3 linked regions of the Oreochromis niloticus genome follow. The protein of the gene in region 3 purifies or fractionates together with the protein of the main gene of each other region. This does not show direct contact. Links are inferred from orthologs where the notes say so. Each region holds a gene or a part of one and is shown on either strand. Other genes may lie near its edges.

Region 1 (5,675 bases), on a different chromosome or scaffold from region 3:
AAGAACTTAGTAACACAGCTTGGGTTTGTAAAGTTGCATCTAAACAAACCCCAAGACCTCTGGAACAATGTCTGCTGGAGCTGTGTGGCAAAACCCCCAAAAACAACAGATCAAACACCTCAGTTGAACTGTGAAGCACGGCAGTAGAGGGGTGATGATGTGGGAACTCCTCTGAATACCAAAACTTTCTAGACTCAAACCTAAAGCTTGGCCCAAACTGGATAATAAAATTAAAATAAAAAGCTAACATAATAGACGGCGACTTACTTAAAATGGTCTTGTAAAGCGACATTAAAGTCAAATGAGTCTCCACGATCAGCAAAACCCAGACCAATAAAAGCATGACGTCCTTTAGGGGTGGGGGGGGGAAAAGATATTTATACAGTTAGTTCACACGGGTTCAACCTTACATCTATAAATCACAACACACATACAACAGGGCACACAGTTTACAGGAAACTGGGACTATGAGATTACAAAAGTTAAGTTGTACAAAACAAATACTGAGATTAAGTCAAGCTCAACAAAATGTGGAGCATGCCCTTAATGAAACAAAAGAAGCCGTTCCAAATACTTTGTCTTACCGTTGCCATCCTCTATCCGGATCACAAAATACCTGCTGGAGTCTGTTACTGCTTCCACGACACAACCTGGATACTGTTCGACTGGAGCTTGTGCAAACAGCTCTCCTGCAAAGAGCAAATTTACACCAAACAAAGCCCCAGGGTTTTTTTCTGTTACCAACAAGGTGTCAAGTTGAGATGACTGAATAAGACAAAAGAAGACAGCAAGGTTTCTGAAAAGGAGCTTTGATAACCCTGTAACAATATGTCATGCTGTAATGTAAAAGGTTGACCTGGTAACAATCACTGAAACTGCAAAATGTTTTAATGTATTCCAAAAAACCCTTTAAACTATTTTTTCTGTTAATGTAAGTAAAATAGTTCAAAGACACAAGCTAGTTCTGAATAACAGGACCTACTTCTTTGCATTTTTGACACTCATTGGCTACAGGTCGCAAAGCAACCGTGATAGTCAGTAACATCTGTTCACACAGCTATGGTCAGAAGGTTGCACACACATTCATTGTGGCCATGAACGTCACAGTAATTATGGCTTTTAATGGTTTATTTGACTTGTTCCATTTCCAGGGGGTAATGATTGTACAACATAGACCTTTATAGACTCATTGTATTGACCAATACTCAGAATAATGGGAAAGTCCAAAGAACTCAGCAAAGATGTGAGGATTCTAAATTTACACACATTAGGAAGGTCTCTACTAAACAAGTGCAATTGAATAATTTTTTTGGATGTGTCACCACTTCTTTTTCCAAGGACTGAAAGAAGAACGAACCTTTCACCCTCAGATGAGAGGAAATTGGTGAGGATGTTCAGGAAAAACCCAGAAAGCCCCAATATTCAAGCGTGCCATGAATTGACATCTGCTGGAACACCAGCATCGCTGTCCATAGTGAAACCACTTTTACATCACCACGGAGAGGGCGCCGACCAAGAAAGAAGCACCTGCTCCAAAATCAGCACTTTCAAACTTGACTGAAATTTGCAATTCCTCACATGGACAAGTAAAATACCTTCTGGAGAAAAGTTTTGGGGTCAGATGAGATAAAGACTGAGCTGTTTGGTCACAATGACAAGAGTTTAGAGGAGTAAAGCTGAGACTTTTAAACTGAGAACATTATACCAGCTGTCAAACACTGTGGTTGTAGCATCATCTTCGGGAGCTGTTCTTCTGCCAGTGATACCAGTACATTGCACAAAGTGGATGGAATAATGAAGACAGAGGACTACCTCCAAATGCTTCAACTTCATCTCGGATCACTTCAGATCAGATCAAGTTTCCACCCTTCTTTCCGGAGGGTCGAAACTTGAACATAGTTGGGTGTTCCAACAGGACAATGTTCCCAAACACACATCAAAACTGGTTTTGGAATTGGTAAAGCAGGCTAACATTAAGCTTCTGGAATGATTTTCCCAAAGCCCCAAGGCCAAGCCTATTGAAATGTTGTGGACTAGACTTAAATGAACTCCACCAATTCTGCCAAGTAAGTGTTCAACCAGAATTATACCAGGAGCTTGTTGATGACTACCAAAAGCATCTGGTCGAGGTGCAACTTGCTAAGAGACATTTAACCAAATATTAGTAGGGGTGCATGTACATATTTAAAAGAATTCTAATTATATTCAAGCTTGCGCATCCAAATGTTGTTTTTTAAAGTAATTAAGGATGTATACTGTGTGACCATTCCACCCTGGAACAAGAACAGTTCAAAGAAATCATTAAATGTCCCAGATTATCATGACATTAACACTCATGATGTACGTGAACTTGTGACCACAAGTGTATATCGTCAAATGCAGTTGGCTAAATCCACTAAGAGCAGAAGACGTCAGAGCCAAAGCAGGACAGGTCAGCTAATCACAGCCTGTTCGCAATGAAAACAACCTACAGGACCTCAGCATAGAAAACTATAGTGACTATGTGACTCCTTTCTAAGTGAATCATGCTGTTACACTTTACCAGATCCTCTTTGCCAAATCCCACTTTAAATACTGGTTTTGAACCACATATTTAAACCGTCAACGGATTGTAAGACACAACTACGAAGACACAAACCTAACTGTTAACTAGTTACTACAATCTAGTTTTGGGTTTACTACCATTTTTGTTTCTTCTTCTTAGTCTTCTTTGTAACTTCACTAATTAAAGCAGTGCTTTTTCTGCCCACCTGTATTTTTATCCTCCAACTTAATGTAGGCCATCTTTCCTTTGGCAGTTATTTTCATCCTTCCACTCCACGCAGGTTCATCCAGCTTCCAGTCTGCAGCACTATAAAAAACAGGAAACACATATCTACTTGTGAAAGTGGTGTAATCCTCTATGAAAACAGCTGACCCAGTCACTGCCAGCTGCTACTTTTGATGGAGGAGGAAGGGAAATGAAAGCTTCGACTCAGACTAAAATGAGACATGACGAGCTCTATCTATTCTTAAAGATGTTAAAGCCATTAAAATGTAGTTGTTAACTGTTATGTCTACAGCATTTAAACTGTAAGAAGATGTTTTCAACAAATTGTTTAGGAGCAAAGACGTGACTCCACTAAAACAAACGACACATTTCAAACTATCTATTATTGGACAGATACTTAAAATCAATACTTTGGCCGGCCAATCAGACTTAAGCTACAGCGTTTCATCTGCGTGTCAGCGACGTGTGAAGTAAGCTTTTAAATGCCAACAGGTGCAAGTCACAGGTAAGACGACAGGATGTTGATGTCCCATTTCCGTGAGCTGATACAGCTGCGAAGTGCTGTTTCGAAATAGCTCAGTTCACCAGTTTACTTGCCGACACTCATTTGTCTCGGAAATGTCCATCTAATTATCAAAATATTGGCCACAATGACATTTATTTAAAAAAAATATTGGCTACCCGTAAAACCAGTAATCGAATGACAAAAAACCTAACAAACTATCCTGAAAAACTTGCTGTCCGATAATTGGCGCATCTCTGCAAAATTAGCCCGCTATCAAACGTCTGGCTGCTCTCGTCAGCTAAAAACATTAGCACCTACCGATATCCGCGGTTAGAGGCCCGCGGCGGGATCCGGTAAACATGGACCTCTGGCTTTACACAGAGCATTGACTCGTAGCTGTTGTCTTCTGCCATCTTGTCAAGTTTCACTAACCCAAAAACCAACTTCCGACTTTCAATGGACCCTTCGCCTGTTCGGCTCTGTCCTGCTGAACCAGGCTGACCGGACCCTAACAGCGCCACCTCTGGCCAGGATGTATAAGCGCCTAAAGAGTACGTCACAGTCTGTCAATGAGAACTTACAATAGCCTACAGTATAATGTATATAAATAGAGAAAGAACAGGAAGTTTTCCATAAGAACACTGAAATTATTCTCTTCTTATAAAAAAATGATACAAATCGTATTTCTGTCCTTTCTAGAAGCCAGTGAATTCATGTATTTCCTTCCTGATACATTACTACACAGTACTAAATAACACAAAATATGCATTATGTGAGGTTTGTCCTAAAAATCACTTTCATCTCTTCATGCCCAGTACAAATGGGAAATATTACAGCAAACTAAACTTTTTTCAGTGATTGTTTGAAGACAAACTGGTGACCCAATCTTTGAAGTGTTAAGCAAAGTTTCCTACATTCCCTCTAATATTAGATTAGATTCATTTGTCACCATGGGGACAGTCATAGTAGCAAATTATTTTCATGTGGGTTGTTTTTCCATTGAGGGTGAAAGGCTAGAGCAGAAAAAGTCACATGTTTGTTGCCTAAAGCTCACAGGATGCAGTGGATAGTTATAAACAGATCATGGATCTGATCATGGATTGTTGATGCCTCCTCACACGCAGACTGATGTCCCTGAAGTCCATCTTAGACTGTGCTGATCCAGTGCCCCCTTAATTATTCTGAGCAGCATATGCAAGACTACTGCGTAATCTAAAATAACAACACATGAAGCAAGTTGTACCGCTGAGTGTGTTTATTAAAGGGTATTCAAATTTAATGAGCTTTTTTTCCCCCTAAAGCTTCAAAACAATGATGACATAAAATGAGCTTCACACTAGACAGGTGGCTATGAATGACTTCAGCAAAGCATCATGGGTAGGTCACACAGGTACAGGATGACTATTTCTCCTTTTCAATTTAAACTGATTAGAAACACATCTTGTTACAATAATTGAATAGGATCCCTGGGAACGCTGTATTAGTAGCACGTCATCTAGATGTTGTAGGTCCAAACGTCCTCCTTTTCATTGTAGATAATCTCCTAAAACAAAAACTTCTACTTTTTGAAGCAGGAATAAGTGGCACAAATGCAACACTTCCAGCCAAGTTGATAAATGTGCTCCTGTGCTGTGCTACAGTTTACTTGTGACATAAATAACCTTTCACAGAAAGCTCCAAATATGTATGAGCACTACCCGCTGGAGAGCGTGTGATGGAGACCAAGGATTGTTTATCTTTTAAGGCATAACAGCGTGGAAAGGTTGAAAACCTGCCGCAGGCTCATGTACTGTTTACTACAAGTGTCAGCACTGGTTATTCATCAGGATTTGCCTATACTATCATGTTATTGCAGGCAAACTCTTATTTTAAATTGGTCCCAAACAAGCAGACCACATTGTAAGATGATATTGGGTAAAGAACACCATTTTCTTTCAGGTTTCCTGGCCCTGCAACAATATTTGCCAACACAAAGCTTTAGATGATATCCCAATCTAGGCTGGGCTTGAAATAATTATTTCAGAATAATTAACACAACTCTTAACCGTAGGTAATAAATCAGCAAACTGCAGCTGGTATGAAAACCCACCAAAATCATCATCCATCATCAACTCCAGAGCTGAGCTGCTCTGAAACAGCAAAGGAACTTTTTTTTTTCTCTACACACTTTAAACTTTCAGTTCATGACTTCTGCCAATTAGATACAACTGAATATGACACGACTATGCAGACTACATCTTCTAGGCTCTTACACACTACAGATCACCTGACTTAAACGTACTATGTGTCAGAAATGAAACACATGAACAATATGAACTGTTTAAAACCAAATGTGAACAAAAAGAAACAGCACAGAAAATGGGCAACATTTTAAAAGAGAAAGAAAAAAAAAGGGAGTAA
Region 2 (5,675 bases), on a different chromosome or scaffold from region 3:
ACACTGAAACGGGCTCAGATGACACATACACATCACCCTGATCCAGACTGTTTGACGATAACATGAAAACAAAAAACATATCTGCCATATCAGTCATCTCTTAATGATCAAGGTAACGCTGGACTGAATGCTAAGCTGACAGTGACATTCACTCTAATTTCACCATGAGCAGCAAGAGGCTCAGCTATCACTCTCCTATCAGCATCCTATCAGGGTAAAGCTTTAGACTGCATCGTCATCATACGGCAACTTTATCTACCTGCAGTTGCATCACTACTCAGTATTCACATGTACAACTCACTGCCAAGTGTAGGCCCCGCCTTTGAGAAGAGAGCAAAATGCTGAGAGTTAAAGCTAGATTCTCCCACAGAGTGAATCACAGAGCTCAGGACGGAGACTTGCTCCTGCATTCTCCTCCTCTCCCAAACAGCTGACAGACTTACACAGTAGGTTCGGTGGCTGGTAGCCAATCTTGCCTCCCTCATCCTGTGAGATGAGCTAAGCCATCCCTTTCAAAATTTGGAGGAAAAAGAATCTCATCTCTCTCTGTTAGGGAAAAGCAGCAGTCCCCCAAAAAGAACACAAAATGAACACAAAATGAGCCTTTGGAGACTGCTACAAACATAACCACAAAAGGGTCTGTATAACCTCACCTTACAGAAGTCTGCATGTGTATTTTAAGGCTGAGTAATTTAGAGACCACTAGCAAAAAATATTGACAAAAATCACAGTCCTGGTGATTTTCCTTAGAGTGAAGGCTAAATTGTCTTTGATGGGCGCCAAAATGTTGTAAATGCAGAACAAACCCTGGATAAGAGCTGACATCAAAACAAACTGCATCTCTCTGGTCATTACTGTGCTACCACTAGGGATGAATAACAATAATGACTACTTCTCTTTCCTGTATTGCTTTTATAGTTCTTTGAGGATTTTTTACATATGGTAAATAGATTTAAGACTACCCTGTTTCTCTAGGAATTAATCCATTGATACATCCAGTTCAAAATCACAGCTAAAAATATACATTTGGCAGATCTTTTTTGATTGTTTTGCTTTTATTTTCTGCCCTAACATTCTTTTTCTAACCCTTATCTAACAGAAAGTCTACTGCTTCTTTCAGGTCTTTAACACACCATCATTAAACATTTAGCCTGTGCAAAACTGACATGACACAACAGATAACTATCCCCTGCCATCAGTAAATGTCATCTTCCCTGCAGATAGCCTGACAGCAGTCAACAGCTGATGTGCGAGCACTCCTAATGTCCTCCTCACTCACTTTAGTAGGTGCACCTGATCAACTACTCGTTAATGCAAACAAATGATCAGCCGATCACATGGCAGCAACTGGGAGAGCTGGTTGACAAGACCAAGTTCAAACTGAGCATCACAATGGGGAAGAAAGGTGAGGAGCACAACATTCAACATGTCCAACCTAACCAACCTATGAATCTGTGCCACAAAGAATTTCTGTTCTCAATGAAAAGGGGAGTCAAACCTGGTACTAGCAATACCTAATAAAAAGTACATAAACTGTATAGCACTTGACTACATCCCCCACTGCTCTGAGCACTCTGAAACCGAGTGCTAGTATTGTAAGCAGAATAAAATAAGCAATGCAGGACATATTTTGAACTCCTTCTTTTTTACTATAATCTGATATTTACAGTCAGAATAAGTGGATTTCAGCACCTCTCCTCGATCACCCAGAGGGTTGCGTCTGTGTTTTCCAAACAAAAACAAATAACTCATCCTGTGTATTATTTCTGGTCACAAATTACATCGCTGCTCCAATAATAAAATGCCTAATGACAGAATCCAAATAGAATTAGCGTCCAATAAACAGGATGTTTCAACCGTATGGTTGTGCTGCTGGGGCTATCACACAATCTATCATGTGGCTATCTTAGTACAGTCTCCACGTGGAAGGTAATCTGACCACTGATGGTTATCTGATCATGAATGGCGGACTTCTTGATCTCTCTTGCAAGAAAAGATCCACCTGCCATATAAGACGATCTTAGACACATTATCACACTTCAGAACATTCCGAGTGCTAAGACTCTGAGTCACAGTCTGTATCGTCATGGTGATCAACCTGTCTGGATGGATGAGTGTTAAGAAGACCCACCTTTATTGTGAATTAACACTTTTTGAGGGGGGCGGGGGGGAGAAACTTGCAAGTCACTAAACTGCCAAGCTACCGATGAATATCATTTGTAAGAATGGTATTACACAAGCGAACCGTGTGATAGGGTGTAAGTGAATGTCGTGACAAACCGTGTGCTAGGAGCAAGCTATCCGATGAGCTTAGGTCATTTTGCTGAATAACGTCCATCCCCCTAAAGTTATCCAGGTAACTTGAGAATCGTTAGCTACTTAACTAACGTTAGCCATACCTCTTAAACACCTTAGCTTATTCGGCAAGACAGAAGCAGATATTTTCCAACAGCAGATAAAGATGTTAGACAGCTTAACACCATCTATTTTGTTAGGTTAGCAAGAGAGCTAAATGCCGTGTTAATGGGAGCTGCCATAGCTCCGTGTGCCGCATCAGAGAGGCACAAGCTAGTGCTGCTTAGCTCGGTGAGCTAACAAGCTTCACCGGGCATGCTTACCAAAGTGCACACAGCCCACTTTCAGCCTACCTGCGATCACCGCTGCGACCCTCAAGATGCCCCGTGTATGCCGTCACCAGTGTATCACGAGCCGTGCCGTGCCAAAATAATTCAAATTCCACAGAAAGTGTCGGGAGAGACGCTCGCAGTCCAATCGCTTCAGCCACCGCCGCTGAATGGCTGCTACTCACAGCCTCAATCAAACTTCCTCCTTAGCAACGGACCGCCTCCGCGTGACCCCATTGGCCGGCGCGTGTACATCGAAGGTGATCGATGTTCGATAGTGCAACCTGGATCGAAGCTGAGTTTCACTCTTTACGCTGTTCGTCTTGTAGTCATTAAGAGAAGCAGGCGTGAAAGCACATTGTAAGACACCGCTTCAGTCTATCGGGTTTAGCTCCAATTAAGATGCACCTGTAAATATATAACTACTATAATCTGACCTGAAGAGTGTGTGATGGATTATTGTTACAATTAATAAGTTGCAAGCAACACTTTACTTTTCGTATTTTGTGACAGTGGGGCTGATTTCTATATAAGCAGGTATCAAATTGTATGCCTATGTTCTCATTAGGTTTTCTTGTATTTCATATATTAGTGCTATTTTCCTCTCAAATGTAGCAGGCTATGTAAGGCACCACTGCAAACGTTCAGTTGCGCCACTTTTAACGAGCACCTTCATTACAAATTCATTGTCTGGGTGATATGCAAATATAACCCTGTCAGTGAGGTCACTCCTGAAACGACAAAAAAATTAGGGCATCAGTGCAGTGCCATCCCGAGTTTCACCGCAATCATCCTTCCTGTGTAGGCCATCACGTTCTCACCACATAACAAAAACGAAGCACGTTTAAACGAGTGAAACGTGTTTCTTTTCATATACATCCAGTTAAAGGCTTCCTCCACTCCCTCTGTCTTCACTGACCCCTTGAAAAGGCCAGAAGTTTATCAGCATTAAGTTGCATTCCTCGCATACCTTTAAAGCCTTGTAAGCTGCAGTGTAACTTGTATTGTGTCCTCACAGGTTATGAAACCAACAAGGAGGCAAACAAAAAAAAAAAAACTTTGGTTCACAAAGTTGTCAAGCCTGTTATGCAGCCTTGTACAGTAACTTTATTAATCTTCACAGTGCCCCAGCAGTGACCTCCCAGTCTCCAACACGTTGTTACTGCCTCGATTTTTTCCCCTTAATTATCTTAACTCTTCGAGAGTCTTGTTTTATTTTATTTTTACATTCATTTTAATTTTGTATATCTATTATTTTTACCATGAGGTTCCATCTATGAAGAGACCAACGTTATAATGAAAAAAAGTTAGCATATTATGCCCCCTGGTGGTCACTTTGTGTGTGTGAGTAATGAGTGGTGGACGGTTTCAGTCATGTAGCCAGGAGTCTACACGTTTTCCCACTTACTGCGTTGCCTAATTAAAAAGATTATTTATGCACACATTGAAGCTAATCATGGCCCTTATTTTTAAAGGGAATACACTGCTAATTTCACACTGGCCCCAAGTAACAGAATAATCTATAGAAACTATCAGCATCTGAAGAACTCCATTTGATTTTTTTGCTTTATATTAAAGATATATATACTTTAAATAAATGTCTCAAATATAATGGACTTGAAAGTGGATCTGCAATGCTTTCTTTGTATATTTAAATGGATAATTTCAAATAATCTGGTTAGAGTATGTGAAAGTAATGCCTGTGAGCCAAAAGCTCACTCCGTTTCAGACTCACTTTAGTGTTTGTGATACCAAGGACAGGGGATAGTCTAAAAATGGTTATGTTAGGCACTGAGTCCAAACAACCACTGTTTAAACTTTATGTTTGAGTGGGGCAACCAATGATGAGAAAGAAGGCTTAAAGCGAGAGAAGCTAAACCAGTTGTTTGGCTACACAAAAGAATAAATGATTACTTTTAACTGTGAATCGTGTAAATCTACTCTAGTAGACACCAAGGCTTCAAATGAAGTTTGAAATGGCTACAATAAGCCCCATGTAATTATTCGGATATCCATTGTGAATTAGGATGCAAACATGTACAATGCAAAAAAGGATTTTTGCTGTTTTATAAAATGATGAAAACAGCGGTGATGGTGCAGTAATCCAGTTTATTATTCAAATGACTACAACAGCAATGTCTCCATTACCACATTTTATTTTTTCAAACAACATATAGAGAACTTTACACAAAACAAGCCATTACCTGCCTTAAATATTTACATAAAACCTTGTAGAGACAGAGGAAAAAAAACATTCTTTGGGTCTGACCATGCAAAAACAATAAATAATCTTCCTGACAGTGCTTCGCATGGTGGTTTCAAGACTGCCATTCAGCAATAACAATTAAAAAAATTTGTTTTCAGATTTTAGTTGACTGCACATAAAACTGCCCTGGTCCACACAGTCATCAGACATGCTTCAACAGCCCAAAAACCTCAAGACTCAGAGTGGGTCAAGTGCAAGTCAGCATATTAGCAACAGTACATTATGCACTCTTTCTTTACGGGTAATCTTCACTATTCCAGATTTAAGCAACATGTAGACCAGAATAGATACAGAAATGAAAAAGTGGGATGTGTGACAGTTTTCTGTGAAAAGCGTAGATTACTTAGAAGAACTAAAGCATCCTGGAAGGATGAAGCACTGTACACAGAAGACCTTAGATGTTTTGTTCAACAGGGTCTTAAAATGTTTTCAGCGCACTCTTGTCCCCAAGACACAATGAGCAGGAGCTAGAAGTTGACTTCAAGACAGTAGAGTTCCCACTACTTTTATCCTTCAGCAAGGCGACAAACAGTGTGCAGACGTGACACCCCAATTCCTTCTGCAGGCTGGGTCCAGAATCTGCTCCTCCCTCTCCCTCTTCCCATTCTCTGTGGCTCAGGTAATGACTTGTGGCTCCCAGGACTGGCTGGCCATCTGGGGGCGACACTGTAAAATGACTGGAGGTCCCATCGGGGTTTGACTGTCCAGGCAGAGGCCACTGACCATGTGCTGCAGAGCTGTGCCCTTTGGCTTCCACTTCTGCAAAGACCAAAAAAATAATTTCA
Region 3 (5,675 bases):
AAGGAAGGAGCAAGCATGAAAAATAAAAAAAAACTATTATTTTACTAATCCTGCTAAAAACAGCACAGATTGAATATACAGATCCCTGCATGACACTGCATGTAGCCAACTCAGACCATTAAGTGGTGTCTGAGTGGCTCAGCTTTTCGAGGCAACAGGTCATACTGAACAGTTCTGCAATGCAGCATACTGCTTACTATTCAATCCGTTTTCTCCCCAACTGTGTTTGTGGTGTCACCATGCCTTCAATAAATAGATTAAATGTTAAAAAAGGCCAAAAATGTATCTCTTGACCCAAAAACAGGAGAATACAAGTGTATCAGTTCACACACTTGTCCCTCTACAGCTTGCCAACCTTCACTGTGTAAATCTACAATGGCCTGGTCTCTCAGTTCTGGAAAAGAGCCTACTTGGACTTCAGAACAGTCAATGAATGTGAATACACAGAATTTAATAGGCAAATTTAGCTATTTACATTGGTGACTCTTTCTCAGTGTAACTCTGTAGAGCTAAATATGATACTACAAGCACTCGCCAAGTCACACCAGACATTAAACAGTCCCTAGTACAAAATATATGTCATGCCAGGTGGCCCGGTGTGAGAACTGAGCGTGTATTTGTCCAGCGAAGTGCCGCATGCTGCCTGATGGATGAAGAGCATCACCCAGGCATTGCTACCGAAACCAAACAGAGTAGGACAGTGAAAATACATTTTAAGCAGACCATCTCCTGTTGTGTTACAAATATGAGATGAGGCAACTGTTCCTGCCTGACATAATTTTACAAGTATTATCTGGGGTGTTTAAATGGAGAAGAAGAAGAAGAAGAAGAAAAAGGGGATGTGGCCAAATCTTCTGGCCACCAAGCGGAGCCCTTACATGGCACATCTGAAACCACGTAGGCAACCTGACACCTTCATGGACATTATTACAACGTGGTGTGTATACTGTCAAAGGTTTCTCTTCAAAACTGGCTTAAAACTGCTGTGTTAGGATAAGTTATGGTCTTCCAATAACATAAAAGTTGCTTTGTAAAGACTTTCTCATACAAAAAACATTTAAAAAGAAAAAAAAGCTGGTGTATATCTTCCACTCCAAACGTGAGAATCAAACTTACTCTCTGTAAAATCACAGAAAGTAAGTTTGAGGAAGGAGAACATGAACTCACAAATGAGCTGTGCAGCAGTAACAGATCTGATCTGATATGCCTAGAGTCACACTTTATGTCTGTATAACAGATTTCCACAAAATTTGCAAAATACATTTCAAATTGGGACTCCGTGTTAGGATTAATTAATTAATGTTAAGGAATCTACAGCACGAACTCCTTCATGGCTTTTGTTTTCCAAACACATGCGAGATTTAACTGACCTTATGTATTGTTATAAGCAGTGAACATTTCAGTTCAGCATACATCAGATATTATGCATTTGGTTTAAGACATTTCCTGACACCAGTGAGTAACCTTCTGTTTGACTGAAGACTTTAAAGTTAAAATATGTTATCACTGACTAGTAAATGAATGTCTACAGGATATTAAGCAATCTTTATGGGGAGGGAAAAGAAGGCTTCCTCTCTGTGCCTTTCTGCCATATGGTAAGAATTAATAACTTGTGTCTTCAAGGAAGAGTCAACATTGAATCAATTTGGAAGAGCTTTTCACTCAGATGCACTTAATCTTTTAAACACAAGGTGTGGTTGGATAAGCTTGAGTGAACCAAATCATTACCTCAGACAATATGGAAAAAGAATAACTTTTTCCCCCTCAATTGTTCCTTTCTGTATTTAGTCACTTATAAACCAAGTCCATAATAAATATTTTTGTACACATTTGATTATTTTAAAAATTGTACTACACAGAGGCAGTAACACTACTCTAAATTTAATCCCGTTGCAGGTTTGTATTTGGTCAACAACAGGAAAGACACGTGTGAACTTAGCCAAGAAGAGACATAATCCTCTCTCATCCTGGATCAACTGCAGCCTCTCCACCCACACTGCATCAGGACCTTCTCAGTGATCTGGAGTTTCTCAAAATCTGGGAACATTAGAGCGGGGTTTCTCCCAACTGAACATACCCTATGTCATCTCGGTAAACTCGGGAGATGAGGACCTCCCCCTTGTGGTTGTAGATGAACAGTCCTCCAATCATTGTGGCTGCTCTTCAATCCCAACCTGCCATGGTGAAACCAAAGCCCTCCTGAGAAAAGACAGAAATGAAGACAGGATATGTGGGAAGGAAAAGGAGGAAGAGAAGTAGAGAAGTGAAAGCAGCAAAAAAAGTGAGGGAGTAAGCAATAGTACAGAGAGGCATTTGTCCCTCACATCCGCTTTTTCCGTCCTTCTCACTCTCTCACACACACACACACACACACACACACACACACTAAAGCCAGATGGATACATCCTGCAGCTGCACTACTGTGGTGACTCATTTTTCTGTAAGACACGCACACATACATACATTATTTACTCCGTACAGGCTAAAAACCACTGCAACTACTCTCACCACAGACAGTTCCCTGTTTTCTTCTAAAGTAAATAAGATTATTGACGAGAGATTAGCAGCTACCAATCTGACGCCGGATGCCACCAGACAGCCAGCTAAAAATCTGATGGCCTAACTAAAGTGTCGTCTTACTGGCATGTGTTGTCCGAATCGGGTTATATTCTAAAATAAAAAAATATCATCAAAAATATTCTAAAGACATTTTTTGTCGTTTGGTGATTAATTCTTGCAGAAAGGTGCCCTCCTTAAAGAATGAAGATTCTGGAAAACAGAGGATGAAGGACATGCCTGACATTCCTCGAAGATAGAATCCAGACCATTTACACACACAACAGCATTCAGAGGAAAACCACCGCACAGATATAAGCCCGCAAGTGAGAAAATATCTCCTCGTTAAAGCACCGCCGAGTCGTGACAGAATAAACCTCGCACAGAAGCCGAGTGCTTTAATCGCCCATTTATCGGCGAAGTCAAGATGTCTGCTCACTCGGGCCATTTCCTAACGTTCATACATTTTTCATATTTTTCATTTTTTTCCCTCGACCACCGCGCGGCAGGTTAGCTACCATTTTTTTTGTCTTAAATATTATTAAGTGGCTTGACTGTGGTTAGAGGCTTGACCTTCAACTAAGATCGAAGTGATGGAGAATACACCGAGTGAGATATAAGCTAGCTAATTTAGCTCACGATAGCGGGCTAGCTGGCGGTGATATTCAGCGAACCGGAGTCGAGCCGTGCAGAATTTTAAATGGACTTCCGGTCAAAAGAAAACCAGTCAATTTGACGAGACCTTAAAGAGAACCATTAACTATCATCGACAACAGACGAGTTAGCCACGTAAAAATACAGCACGGGTTATTCAACAGTGTTGGGTAATATATAACGTAATAAGAGATATTTACAAGGGCGCCCTTCCTTGCTTTTAATTTGAAGGAAAAAACGAGTCCTTTCCGTTATCAGGCTAGGTACTGCTAATGGATTGACGTTAGCTAGCGCCGCGGCGGCTAATGTTGCTACGTTAGCATCACTCACAAATGAAACCGTTTCACCGGCTTTCCGTAGTGGTTTCCGGACTACAGTTACCCTAATTAACGAAAAAACTGCAGTCTTTTACCTTACCCTAGTTCTCTCAAGAACGCCACCAGTCTTTTGCCTCCCCGTTCGGCCTCGGATAGCTTATGTCAGGATCCAGTAGGTTCCCAGTTCACACGCCCGCTAATTCCGCTCCTTCCTCCTGGTCCTCTGATAGCTGTCAGCTGACCCGCCGTCCTTACGCACAGCCGTTCCGCCGTGACAGGAAAAGGCGCGGCTGGAAAGATGTGTAAACCGCACCCAGGCCTCGATACGATAAGCGACATGGGTTACTGGCCAGTTATCGTTTCACGTTTTACGGAAGGTAATGGTTATGTTTAATAGCTGGAAAGTGGGCTAGAATCCCTTATACAATAGATTTGAATTGCGCTGACATGTATATGTACTTGTTAAATATCGACAATTTCTCATTGGCTCCAAGAAGTTTAAGAAGAAGAAAAAAAAAAACACTATTGCATTTTGTTTATTTTTTCCATGGTGGTAGTATGGGTGGTCTTGTTTTACCCTGTCCTGCAGAGTCAACTTCAATTTTATTTTCCAAACTGAACCGAATCGCCTCTCAACAGGAGTTTCCGCCTCAAACCACAGGGAACATTTTGCATAGAGTTGTTCAGTCTGGGGCAAGTCCAAATGTACACAGGCTGAACGTTTGCACACTCCCACAGCGCTCCCCCACTCTCTCTCACTCATTCTCACACACACATCTGTACAGCAGACTGCCTAACCTTCACATTCCTGCGCCTGGACGGTTTGCAGTCCACTGCTTTTAAATGCAAATATAACCTCAGGTACCATAAAGGCAAAAAGAAAAAACTCACTAGGTTTCAGTTTTTGGTTTTGCAGAAAGGTATACACAAGCACACAAAACAGAAAGCAGCAGATTTAAGTCATAAAACTATATTTATAAATAAAAAGACATTTTCCTTGATAAAAGAGTAGTGTGAAAGTCATGGTAAGAAATTTTTTTTCCACTATACATTATCACAAGACAGTCTGAAGATTCGCTGGTTAGCAGACGAAAATGTAGTTGTGCCGTATAAAAACGACTCTGGAAACTGAATGCTCATGTTAAGCATTAAAAAGAAAAAGAAACTAGTTGTGACCAGCTACACATATAATAAAACAAATGCATTCTCAAAGTATGGACTGTAATTCTCTTGCACTACATACATTTCTTTCTTTCTTTCTCTCTTAAGTCAAGCAAATACTTTAAAAGTCTGAATAAGATTAACAGTTAGTGTTCATTTCAGCTTCTTTCAGTCATTCTTTTTTTCTTGTTAGAGGTCAGCAAGTGGGGGGAAAAAAGAACAGGAGGAGGGAAGAGGCTTCAGTCTCTCTCGGTTTGGACGTGGACAGGGGTGGGGGAGGACAGAGAACGTTAGATAAGGAACCCAGAGGAGGGGAGGGAAGAGTGAAAAGAAGAACAAATGAAAAACATCCATGTGGAAAAGCACTGAGTCATCTACCCCAGCTGACCATTTCCACTGCCTCCCTCCCTTCTCCTGCTCTTTGTCCTCGCTAAAACTCTTCCCCACCGTGGAGCGGAAACTGAGAAAGGCGCTTTGGTTCCATCTGGAGCAGGGTGGGGGGTGTTTCTTCACTGAAGAAAGTATGGCCACTACAACTACTAAGAAAAAGTACAAGAGAGGAGGAGCATTTTCTCTCAGCGTACACAACAGGGTGGTTCCATTTCTGCCTTTAGGTCTTTATAACCGGTGTCACATCACATCGACAAAAAATTCTCCAGCGTTGCCCACCGCCATGCGCAGAGACTGCCGTGACGCAGTGAGCTCAGGGGGCACCGAGGCAAGCTCTCTGCCAGGTGGGGCACCAGGTGCAGCTGTAGAAAGGTGTGGTGGCTGAGGGGGTAGGCCAGGGGGGCCGTACACAAGACCAGGCCCATAAGCTATAGAGTGGGAGTTGGCACTGCGGTGGCTCACAGAGCTGCGGACGCTTCGTTCACTAGGGGGAGCCACTGAGCGCTCACTTGGCGCCCGGTGGCTCCTGATCTCTGATTCGCTGCCACTGCCGCCGGATTTTCGGCCCTCATTCTTGCTACAGTTAGAACCGCTGCT

What was found.
Region 1: the proteins of AP-2 complex subunit mu-A (region 3) and necap2 purify together in Homo sapiens (affinity purification with mass spectrometry; 4 studies listed by BioGRID and IntAct, counting the BioPlex papers as one, with this or other methods). This does not show direct contact. The link is inferred for Oreochromis niloticus from reciprocal best matches to the Homo sapiens genes AP2M1 and NECAP2.
Region 2: the proteins of AP-2 complex subunit mu-A (region 3) and numb purify together in Homo sapiens (affinity purification with mass spectrometry; 3 studies listed by BioGRID and IntAct, counting the BioPlex papers as one, with this or other methods). This does not show direct contact. The link is inferred for Oreochromis niloticus from reciprocal best matches to the Homo sapiens genes AP2M1 and NUMB.

What each region holds. Positions count from the first base shown.
Region 1 is NC_031970.2:21,522,569-21,528,243, reverse strand, and holds the start of necap2 (adaptin ear-binding coat-associated protein 2), read right to left. Parts: upstream 3,770-5,675; 5' UTR 3,689-3,769; coding exon 3,594-3,688; intron 2,852-3,593; coding exon 2,751-2,851; intron 690-2,750; coding exon 585-689; intron 350-584; coding exon 268-349; intron 1-267. UniProt on the Homo sapiens protein: Involved in endocytosis.
Region 2 is NC_031983.2:21,449,361-21,455,035, reverse strand, and holds the start of numb (protein numb homolog), read right to left. Parts: upstream 2,800-5,675; 5' UTR 2,649-2,799; intron 1-2,648. Other genes in the region: galnt16 (polypeptide N-acetylgalactosaminyltransferase 16), read right to left, coding at 5,506-5,649. UniProt on the Homo sapiens protein: Regulates clathrin-mediated receptor endocytosis. Plays a role in the process of neurogenesis.
Region 3 is NC_031982.2:12,070,202-12,075,876, reverse strand, and holds the start of AP-2 complex subunit mu-A, read right to left. Parts: upstream 3,812-5,675; 5' UTR 3,623-3,811; intron 2,200-3,622; 5' UTR 2,152-2,199; coding exon 2,078-2,151; intron 1-2,077. Other genes in the region: segment polarity protein dishevelled homolog DVL-3, read right to left, coding at 5,319-5,675.